3 linked regions of the Saccharomyces cerevisiae S288C genome follow. Changing the gene in region 1 together with any one later gene gives a genetic interaction. Each region holds a gene or a part of one and is shown in the gene's direction. Other genes may lie near its edges. The genes, in order: YCR102C, AUA1 and MGA1.

Region 1 (3,407 bases):
TTGGTGCAATTACGTAATTGTAGCCGCTGAAGGCGGATGGTATTGAGAGAAGTTGATGTTCAAAGTATCGTGTATGATAAAAATAGAATTGTAACCAGTTCGTAGTAGCAGTATTAAAACTTTGATTCCGAGATGTAATCCCTCTTTTCTAGCCAGATATGAAGGAAAAAAGTGTAAGGGTAGTTGAGAGCGCTACTTTATTTTATTCTATTTTAAAAATGTTCTCTAGGAGAGGTGTATTAATAGTTGGTACTCCATGTAGCTTCTAAGTCAAAAGAAATGTCTCTATCTTTATGGTAACGGTTCATCGTTAGAGCTCAATTGTGCTTCTTGGATGTATTTCCAAAGTCCCACGTTTAATAACCCACACAACATAAATGTCCTTGAATATAAAAAATTTCGAAAGCTCCCCGTAAAGAATGCTTGATAATCAGCTCCATCAAAGAAATACTTTTTGTTCTTCCAAACTTTTCCTCTCAGCAAATACATATTTATTTCCTTTGCAACCACTTTCTAGAGAATTCATAATAGTTGATAAAAAAGGCATTTTGTCTTCTATGTTCATAATTTCAATTCTTGAATTTTGGAAATCGTGAAATGTTTCGAGAAACCGCCTTCAATAATTAGAAAACAAAATAAAAGATTACAGTTAGGCCACTCAAAAATACAATTCAGATAAGAAAGGTGCGATAGTGGGGAATAAGAATTGGAAATCCGCTTGATAATCAGGGAAAACTTAAAGAACGGGGTGTTAAAAGTCTGTGAAGTATAGATCAAACTCGCACTAGCTAGCAATACTCATGAGAACCTAGGTGAGTGTAAAGCAGTGAACCTTCTTTAGAAAGCAGAGAAAAATCCTCCAAGTTAACAGTCTTCCATACTTACTCAGTATGGATCAAGTTCCACAGTTTGTCCACTTCTGTAGAATAAACTTGTAGTGCTTTTCCGATGAAAAGGGATAGAGTCTTTAAAAGACTTGATCTTGGCATTTTTATCCTCCTTCAAGCAGAATGGCTCCAGTAGAGTTGTTCTGAACGCTTCTGGGCAGTGAGCAGCATTGAAGAAAAAGTACTCAGCATTCCAAGCTTTGTCTTCATATAATTATAAATTAAAACTCATAGCCACCAATTTCCAGGTTTTGGTCGCAATATGCTGCAGAATCAATGGCTTGTTTCGTTACTATACTGGTCCGACGGAGTTTACTTTACTCTAAATTTGCTGAAATAGCAAGGCCACACGCCATACAATTAACAATAGTTCATTCAGTTGAAAGGTTTCCGAGATAGAAAGTGCGGTAGTAGAGAAGAACAATAAACGTATCAAACTTTGCGCAGTCATGGAATTTCCAGGAAACATTTTTAGGTTTTCATATGACAGCAGTTCCTGTCCGAGAGCTGTGCCTTTCTTGTCTCAGCTGACTAAGATGTCTCGGATCCGCCCGGCTGGCGCGCGGCTCCGTCTAGTGGGATAGGCTTTCAACACATAGGAAACCCTTCAGATGATGAGAACACATCGAATCCCAGAGAGTAATATCACCAAGAATAAAGCAACCATGATAGACAATATTACTAAGTGTTCCTCAACAGATATTGAGAAAAGTTCTTATAAAGCGGGCAGGCTTTTTTCTATTTTTTTCTTTTTCTTTATCTAGCTTAAGATCCTTCTAACCATATTCTATAAAATGGCAAGCTGAATACAGATTATCAACGACAATTACATATAACCTACAAACAGGCAAGTTGCAATTCCAGAAACCATGAAGGCTGTCGTCATTGAAGACGGTAAAGCGGTTGTCAAAGAGGGCGTTCCCATTCCTGAATTGGAAGAAGGATTCGTATTGATTAAGACACTCGCTGTTGCTGGTAACCCGACTGATTGGGCACACATTGACTACAAGGTCGGGCCTCAAGGATCTATTCTGGGATGTGACGCTGCCGGCCAAATTGTCAAATTGGGCCCAGCCGTCGATCCTAAAGACTTTTCTATTGGTGATTATATTTATGGGTTCATTCACGGATCTTCCGTAAGGTTTCCTTCCAATGGTGCTTTTGCTGAATATTCTGCTATTTCAACTGTGGTTGCCTACAAATCACCCAATGAACTCAAATTTTTGGGTGAAGATGTTCTACCTGCCGGCCCTGTCAGGTCTTTGGAAGGGGCAGCCACTATCCCAGTGTCACTGACCACAGCTGGCTTGGTGTTGACCTATAACTTGGGCTTGAACCTGAAGTGGGAGCCATCAACCCCACAAAGAAACGGCCCCATCTTATTATGGGGCGGTGCAACTGCAGTAGGTCAGTCGCTCATCCAATTAGCCAATAAATTGAATGGCTTCACCAAGATCATTGTTGTGGCTTCTCGGAAACACGAAAAACTGTTGAAAGAATATGGTGCTGATCAACTATTTGATTACCATGATATTGACGTGGTAGAACAAATTAAACACAAGTACAACAATATCTCGTATTTAGTCGACTGTGTCGCGAATCAAAATACGCTTCAACAAGTGTACAAATGTGCGGCCGATAAACAGGATGCTACCGTTGTCGAATTAACTAATTTGACAGAAGAAAACGTCAAAAAGGAGAATAGGAGGCAAAATGTCACTATTGACAGAACAAGACTGTATTCAATAGGCGGCCATGAAGTACCATTTGGTGGCATTACTTTCCCTGCTGACCCAGAAGCCAGGAGAGCTGCCACCGAATTCGTCAAGTTCATCAATCCAAAGATTAGTGATGGGCAAATTCACCATATTCCAGCAAGGGTCTATAAGAACGGGCTTTACGATGTTCCTCGTATCCTGGAAGACATTAAAATCGGTAAGAACTCTGGTGAAAAACTAGTTGCCGTATTAAACTAGATGACGAACAGATATTATTTTTCTTTTGTATACACAGTTATTACGTATGTTAGAGTGACTTGGTTTTTTTTTTTTTAATGAAATTGTTTGTTATTGATCACGCCTTGTAGGGGAAACAGATGAGAACAGTGAAAATCATAACTCATTATGTGATTTGTTGTGCGTCACCCTTCCATGATTATATATCCTTACTATCTACTATCCAACTACTACATATCTATTGAACTCATATGTACCAAGCACATAAAATTATGCACCTATTTCCATTGGCAAAGACTTGGCGAAATTTAATACACTGTAATAATATCCGGCGAAGCTCTTTAAGAATTCTTACCTATAATAGCGGCTCGCTGTCCGAACGATTGCGCCGCACTTTTCTGCCTCTTACATTCCCTTTTCCTAAGGCGATAAGCAGGCTGAATGGAAACTACGATATAACGCAGTAGAGGTCCCCCAAGAGCTGGAAAGAAAATATTGGTTTGATAGCCAGCACTATTCTATCCAGTGGGCTCTTGTACCATTTTCTGTGGTATGGCTTTGATTC
Region 2 (2,858 bases), on another chromosome or scaffold:
AAAGAAATATTCAAATTCAATACAGTGGCGGGTTCCCTTGGGTTTGTGTTTTGCGTGGGCAATCTTTATGGTGATTGGAATGGTTATGGTTCCGGAATCGCCCAGATATTTAGTAGAAAAAGGTAAGTATGAAGAAGCTAGAAGGTCTTTGGCCAAATCAAACAAGGTCACAGTTACTGATCCAGGCGTTGTTTTTGAGTTTGATACTATAGTTGCAAATATGGAATTAGAAAGGGCTGTTGGAAATGCCAGTTGGCACGAACTCTTCTCAAATAAAGGAGCAATTCTACCAAGGGTAATAATGGGAATCGTTATCCAGTCACTGCAACAGCTTACTGGCTGTAATTATTTTTTCTACTACGGCACGACCATTTTCAATGCTGTTGGAATGCAAGACTCTTTCGAGACTTCCATTGTCCTTGGGGCTGTTAATTTTGCTTCTACATTTGTTGCACTATACATTGTGGATAAATTTGGGCGTCGAAAATGTTTATTGTGGGGGTCTGCCTCGATGGCAATTTGTTTCGTCATATTCGCCACCGTTGGCGTCACTAGATTATGGCCACAAGGGAAAGACCAACCTTCTTCGCAAAGTGCTGGTAATGTTATGATCGTTTTTACTTGTTTCTTCATTTTCTCTTTTGCCATTACTTGGGCTCCTATCGCCTATGTCATTGTGGCAGAAACTTATCCATTAAGAGTTAAAAATCGTGCCATGGCCATTGCGGTTGGTGCGAACTGGATGTGGGGTTTCTTGATTGGATTTTTCACACCCTTTATCACTAGATCCATAGGATTTTCTTATGGCTATGTTTTCATGGGTTGCTTAATCTTTTCGTACTTCTACGTTTTCTTCTTTGTTTGCGAAACAAAGGGATTAACTCTGGAGGAAGTTAATGAAATGTACGAAGAAAGAATAAAGCCATGGAAGTCCGGAGGTTGGATTCCCAGTTCTAGAAGAACACCACAACCAACAAGCAGTACACCATTAGTTATTGTTGATAGTAAATAATTTCTAAATATTCTTGTACTCTGGTAAACAGAAATAACAACAGATAATGGATTGATGCTTTACTTCTATTTCATGGAGATTGGTTTTATATAATAGCCTTTATTAATGGCGTCACAAATTGAAAAAAAAATTAAAAAAAATAAGACGGACACATTTGCGACGCCGGTGAATAAATGCATATAAGTAGTTTATAAGCTAGCTACTACTCAGAAATAATTTCAAAAAAAAAAAGAAGTGGGCACTTTAAAATGAAGATTAGCTATAGTAAATTACTGTAGTATAACAACTACCTGCTATCTTTCTGAAAAAATCAGGCAATGTAAGGTCAAACTTGTACCATCGACATATATAATGTTTTGAGATATAAGTAACTAGAGACCAGTTTATACAGGATCTTACCTCTTTTTACCGTTATGAAAGCTTTATTACTGCGTTGTTAGTAAACACACATATTATTTTCGGGTAGTCCTGTCGATGTTCCAAGGCTTTGCATTTATCATTGTTTCCGCTTCATCGGTGGTATTAGTTAGTGTATCTGTATGTGAAGTATGTGGATAGGTGCTTCTATTATTGGAACAAAACACCTTAAACGCGCACTAGGTTATAGGAAAGGGTCCATTATTCAAAGAACGGCTTATTGAAAAGTATGTTGTAAAGCTCGGTCATATCGCGCATAGCCACGATAAGGCGTGGTGCTGCTTCATAGATTGAGAGGCGCAGTCAATACACAACCATACCGGTAGTTTGATAAATGATACTATCATTCCGGAAGCTCTCTAGTAAGCTGTAGGTGGCATATACGGTATCTATCATCTAGTAATAGCTATTGATTTTTTTCTCGACTATGCTATATGTGTTGTGATGGTTCACTTAGAAGTGAAAAAGTAGCAATAAATTAGACAGACAGAAGTAATTGAAGCTACATTCAACAACATGGCTAAGTAAAAAAGCGTAGAATATCATGATGGGTTTTTTTATCTTTTAATTGCTTTCTATGTAGTATAATGGACCGATCTTTGCAAGTATATATCTGTATGTATCCATATTTAGATGGCAGCAAGCAATATAGATTTGATGAGCTTATATCATTTTATCGTCCTTGTCCAAAAAGTCTTGATAACATTAAAAGTCACTACCGTCAAATCCATCATCAAATCCGCCGTCGAACCCACCAGCATCATCAAATCCGCCGTCGGACCCACCAGCATCATCACCGTAGTAATTGTTCTCGACAACGACAGTGTCTGGTCCGTCATAGTTGTGGTCGTCAAATGCGTGTTCTAGCATAGCTCCACCTAACAAACCCGCACCAACACCAAGTAAACCACCCATCATGGCACCGCCGTGTCCACTACCTTTACTGGTGCTTGGCGCAGTTCCATAGTATGCTTGCTGTGGTGCTGCTGCTGGCATAGGGGCTTGTTGAGGATAGTAACGCTGCTGTTGAGGGTATTGAGGGTACTGAGGCTGTTGAGGCTGATAGTAACGAGGTTGCTGTGCTTGGGCCCCTGCTTGCACTTGCGGTGTTGATTGAGAAGAATAAGGTGGAGGAGCCTGGTCTGCCTGTTGACGAGAACTCTTCTCATTGTTAACACCTGGTGGAGGACCTTTGGGTCTTGGCCATGTTGTTCCCCTTGGTGGTTCCCACTGAGAGCTGTTCGTAGATAAATCTACATAATACCAAGTCTGGTATTCATCATCAAAAACAGCCTTCCAGCCAGAAGGCACTTGAGGAGGATTACTTTTACTTTGAGCCATTACTTTAAAATGTTTTGGGTTTTTTTATCGACTCTCTTGTAGTGAGTGATAAAAGCAATTCAGAAAGAGTCTTTTGATTATCATGACT
Region 3 (3,762 bases), on another chromosome or scaffold:
TTATCCTTGAAAAGCAAGAATCGGCGTTAACGGGCGACGCTGATGCAGTGTTCAATATCGCCATCAGTGGAGGATCGATGAACCAAGCGCTGTACGAAAGTTTGGTAAATGACAAAAACATTTTTCCACATATTAAGTGGCCACAATGGAGAATCTTCTTCTGTGACGAAAGATTGGTTCCATTTGAGGATCCGCAAAGTAACTATGGTCAGTTCAAAAAAACAGTTTTGGACCCGCTAGTGCATCAGGGCAACCAATTGAACTTAGGCCCCACTGTATACACTATCAACGAATCATTAATCGGTGGCGGTGAAACGGCCAATAGAAAGATTGCCGAAGAATACGCTTCCATGCTGCCTGCATCATTCGACCTAATCTTACTCGGATGCGGAGAAGATGGACATACATGCTCGTTGTTTCCCGGGGTTGAATTTAATTACCTTGTAGAAGAGATGGACCGCAAGGTTTTATGGTGTAATAATTCGCCCAAGGCACCCAAGGACAGGATCACCTTTACATTAGCAGTAGTAGCCGAGGCTAAAAGTGTGTGCTTTCTCGTTAGGGGAGCTGCTAAAAAGGCTATCATGCATGACGTGTTAATCGTAAAAAATAGCGAACTACCTAGTGTGCTGGTTAATGAAATGGTCGGAACCAAAGTAACTTGGTTTCTCGACGACGAAGCTGGCGCCTTGATTCCTGAAAACTGCTAATTACACTCGTCTTTATACGAAACTGGCTCCGTTAATCACGACAGACAACCTTAATTACATTACATAATAATAAATAAATGACAACTGTCTTCTTTACAGCGTATGTTGGAGCTTACTCCCGAAGCATAAACCCAGTTCTTCTAGAAGAATTGACAGCAGAAAGGAAAGGGGTACCGAAGGCAAACTCAACCTTAAAAGTTCCGTAAGCAACCGAGCCTCCGCGAAGGTTGCATAACTTAAAAGAAAAACATAGCTCACCCGGTGATACCGTTACAACGCGTTAATCTTAATGCTATGACTCGGAACCACCTGCAAAACAGCGCTAACGGAAATTTCCATGGAAATAGAATAAGGGACGCAGCAGGGTTTTTTTTTTTGGCGAGCACACGAAATATAAAATTGCTTCGGGCCAGCTGCATGGAAGGGTTAATTTCGCCCCTTTATCGCAAGCTACGCAGTTCTCCTGGCTCGAGAATGAATCTGGCCCGCCGCAGACGTTTCCTGGCCCCAGATTAGGAAGCAGCGGCGGCGGAACGGAAGGTGCTCTAAGCAAAATAAGGAATATTAGCCACGCCGGTAATTCCCCTCCTTTGGTCTGCCCCTGGTCTGCCCCTTTCGTTTTTTATTTTTTTTTGGGTGAACGGAATACTCCGTGGGCGGCACAAGGAGAGCCTGCGTAGGAATCTGTGCGTCTCAGTCGGGCGGGCCGATTTAGCACCGATGGTTCGCTTTGGCTTGGGCTTACGGTGACTGCGAGATTTGCAGATTAGTGCATATCCGCGCCTTTGTATGACGTGAAGCGATCCGCCCTGAACAACTTGTTACGTATATGATGTTGACTCTGCGCCCCCGTCTCTCTGGTTGCTGCCTTCTGCGCTGATTTGGTGCAATCTTTCTTTTTTGTCTTTGAAAGATTTAAGCTTTTTTTCGAGAAGAAAAAGGAGGAACCGAAAAAATAATCTTTCAGTTGTTGACCCGTAGAGCAGAAAATGGAAGGCAGTAGATATCCATATCGAAGGAAAAGCACAAACTTATCACGTTTAGGGTATTCATTAACGTTGAAGTAATCAGGTAGTGAATAGCTCGAAGTTTTCCATGCTTTCCTTTCGGTTGCATCTTTCTTCCTTTGGGGTTTTATCTTGATACGTCGTTACTTACCTTTTTTTCCAATATATATATATTGGTAGTAGCTGATCATTGCAGAAGATCTAGATCTCCTTTACACGCTTTAAGGTTAGGCAGCTGTAACCCCTATATTGAATTTTCACCCACGCCATAAAATACAATAGCTCAGAGAACCGGTGGCCACATGCAACCTAAAACTTTCGTCCACCAACTTCATGCAATTCTTCTGGAACCGGAAGTAAATAAATGGATATACTGGTCTCCGACTGATAACACGGTATTTTTTTTGAAGCCATATGACCCTAATTTTAGTACACATGTTCTGAAGCGTTATTTCAAACATGGAAATGTCAATAGTTTTGTTCGTCAACTACACATGTACGGGTTTCATAAACTATCTCATCCTTCCCCAGACCAATCTTCTGCCAACAATGGTAACGTTAAAGAACTTGTTGAATGGAAATTTACCCACCCATCTGGATTCTTCTTCAAAGAGGCCAACGCCGGTATCTTGAATAAAATCCAAAGAAAGAGCACTGGTGTGGGAAAAGATGGTAAAAGAAAGAATATACTGTCACCAATATCTGTCAGTTACGTTGATGCTTCGAGGTTAAATGTTCTCTCTCAGCAATCCGGACCAGTTTCTGCAAGAGAACCATCAAACATGTTTATGGGCAGTCCCGTCCATTACTCAACATCCCAAAGTCCTCCACATATCAGTATACCGCAACAGCAACAAAGTAGTGGACCTTACCTAATATCTTCACTGCCCCCTCAACAACCCACGGTGAACATGATGCGAAGGCAAAGCATCTCGGCGAGGATGATGAATTCTTATGACTATCCCAATCAATTTTCCACCCAAGATAGCATAGTCCAGCCTCAGCAGCCGCAACAAGTACTTTCTCCACAAGCATTATCTGGACCTCCGATGAAGAAATCAGGAACACTATCTTCGACAGATGATCTGAAAACAACTTCCTTGCCAATTGTTAATTACCCAATGCCGTATCATCCTGGAGCTTTTGCCCAGCAGCAGCAGCAGCAGCAGCAACCGCTCCCTACAGTCCCGCCATATAGCAGTTACTCCACTCCATTTCCCTCAATGATGAACTCTCTTTCGAACTCTGCTTCTAACTCACCTGCTTTAGGAGTTTGTAATAATAATGTAACACTACCCAAAAAAAGCAATATAAGTGAAAGGCAAGCTTTGGATAACCATATACAAACTTTAAAGAACTCTCTATCAACAATCACTGATTTGATAGAAAAACATATTAACAGCGCATCGCAAGATGAAAATAAAACTCTAACTAATGATGCCATGAACAAAGACCTTCGAACAAGCTTATCCCTATTACAGAATTCCAAGGAGGAAATCATTCAACTTGAAAGTAAATGGATGTCTATGCAATCTGTTAAAACAACTGCCCTACCCCTTCAAGAGACTACGAATACATCATCGACCTTAACTTCTCTGACGTCCAGCATAATTCCCAAGAGTATACCTATAATCACGAAAGGTGAAGTCGCCACTAAACCAGCATCTTACTGAATTATTTTCAACAGAACACATCGCATCCAACTGAACAAACTGTTACCGCTGTTGATACCAAGGAACATTCAGTGAACGTAGGGAAGAACGAACATTCTCCATATTTTTGCATACTAGATACAAGGGGGAAGAATGCAATTATTTCACAAACCGAAAGAAAAAGAATCACAAGCTATGTTTGCTATTATCAATTTTTCTTATGATTAATTTAACATAAATTATGGCCTTTTTCATTCCGGCTGCGCTTGTTCTCCAATTTTTTTTTTTTTTTTGAGAAAACTTTAAAAATTTCAAATGTAAGAAAGTAGAGCAGATCTTTTAGCAAGGATCCGCTTAACATTCCAACAAAAAAGGAAAAATAAAACAATAATT

The links.
Region 2: mutations in YCR102C (region 1) and AUA1 together harm fitness more than expected from each alone (negative genetic interaction), as found in Saccharomyces cerevisiae (one large-scale study listed by BioGRID).
Region 3: mutations in YCR102C (region 1) and MGA1 together harm fitness more than expected from each alone (negative genetic interaction), as found in Saccharomyces cerevisiae (one large-scale study listed by BioGRID).

The regions. Positions count from the first base shown.
Region 1 is NC_001135.5:303,817-307,223, reverse strand, and holds YCR102C (uncharacterized protein), read left to right. Parts: upstream 1-1,756; coding exon 1,757-2,863; downstream 2,864-3,407.
Region 2 is NC_001138.5:112,974-115,831, forward strand, and holds AUA1 (Aua1p), read left to right. Parts: upstream 1-2,016; coding exon 2,017-2,301; downstream 2,302-2,858. Other genes in the region: hexose transporter HXT10, read left to right, coding at 1-1,012; WWM1 (Wwm1p), read right to left, coding at 2,135-2,770. UniProt on the Saccharomyces cerevisiae protein: Involved in ammonia regulation of the GAP1 permease.
Region 3 is NC_001139.9:986,030-989,791, forward strand, and holds MGA1 (Mga1p), read left to right. Parts: upstream 1-2,019; coding exon 2,020-3,390; downstream 3,391-3,762. Other genes in the region: 6-phosphogluconolactonase SOL4, read left to right, coding at 1-710.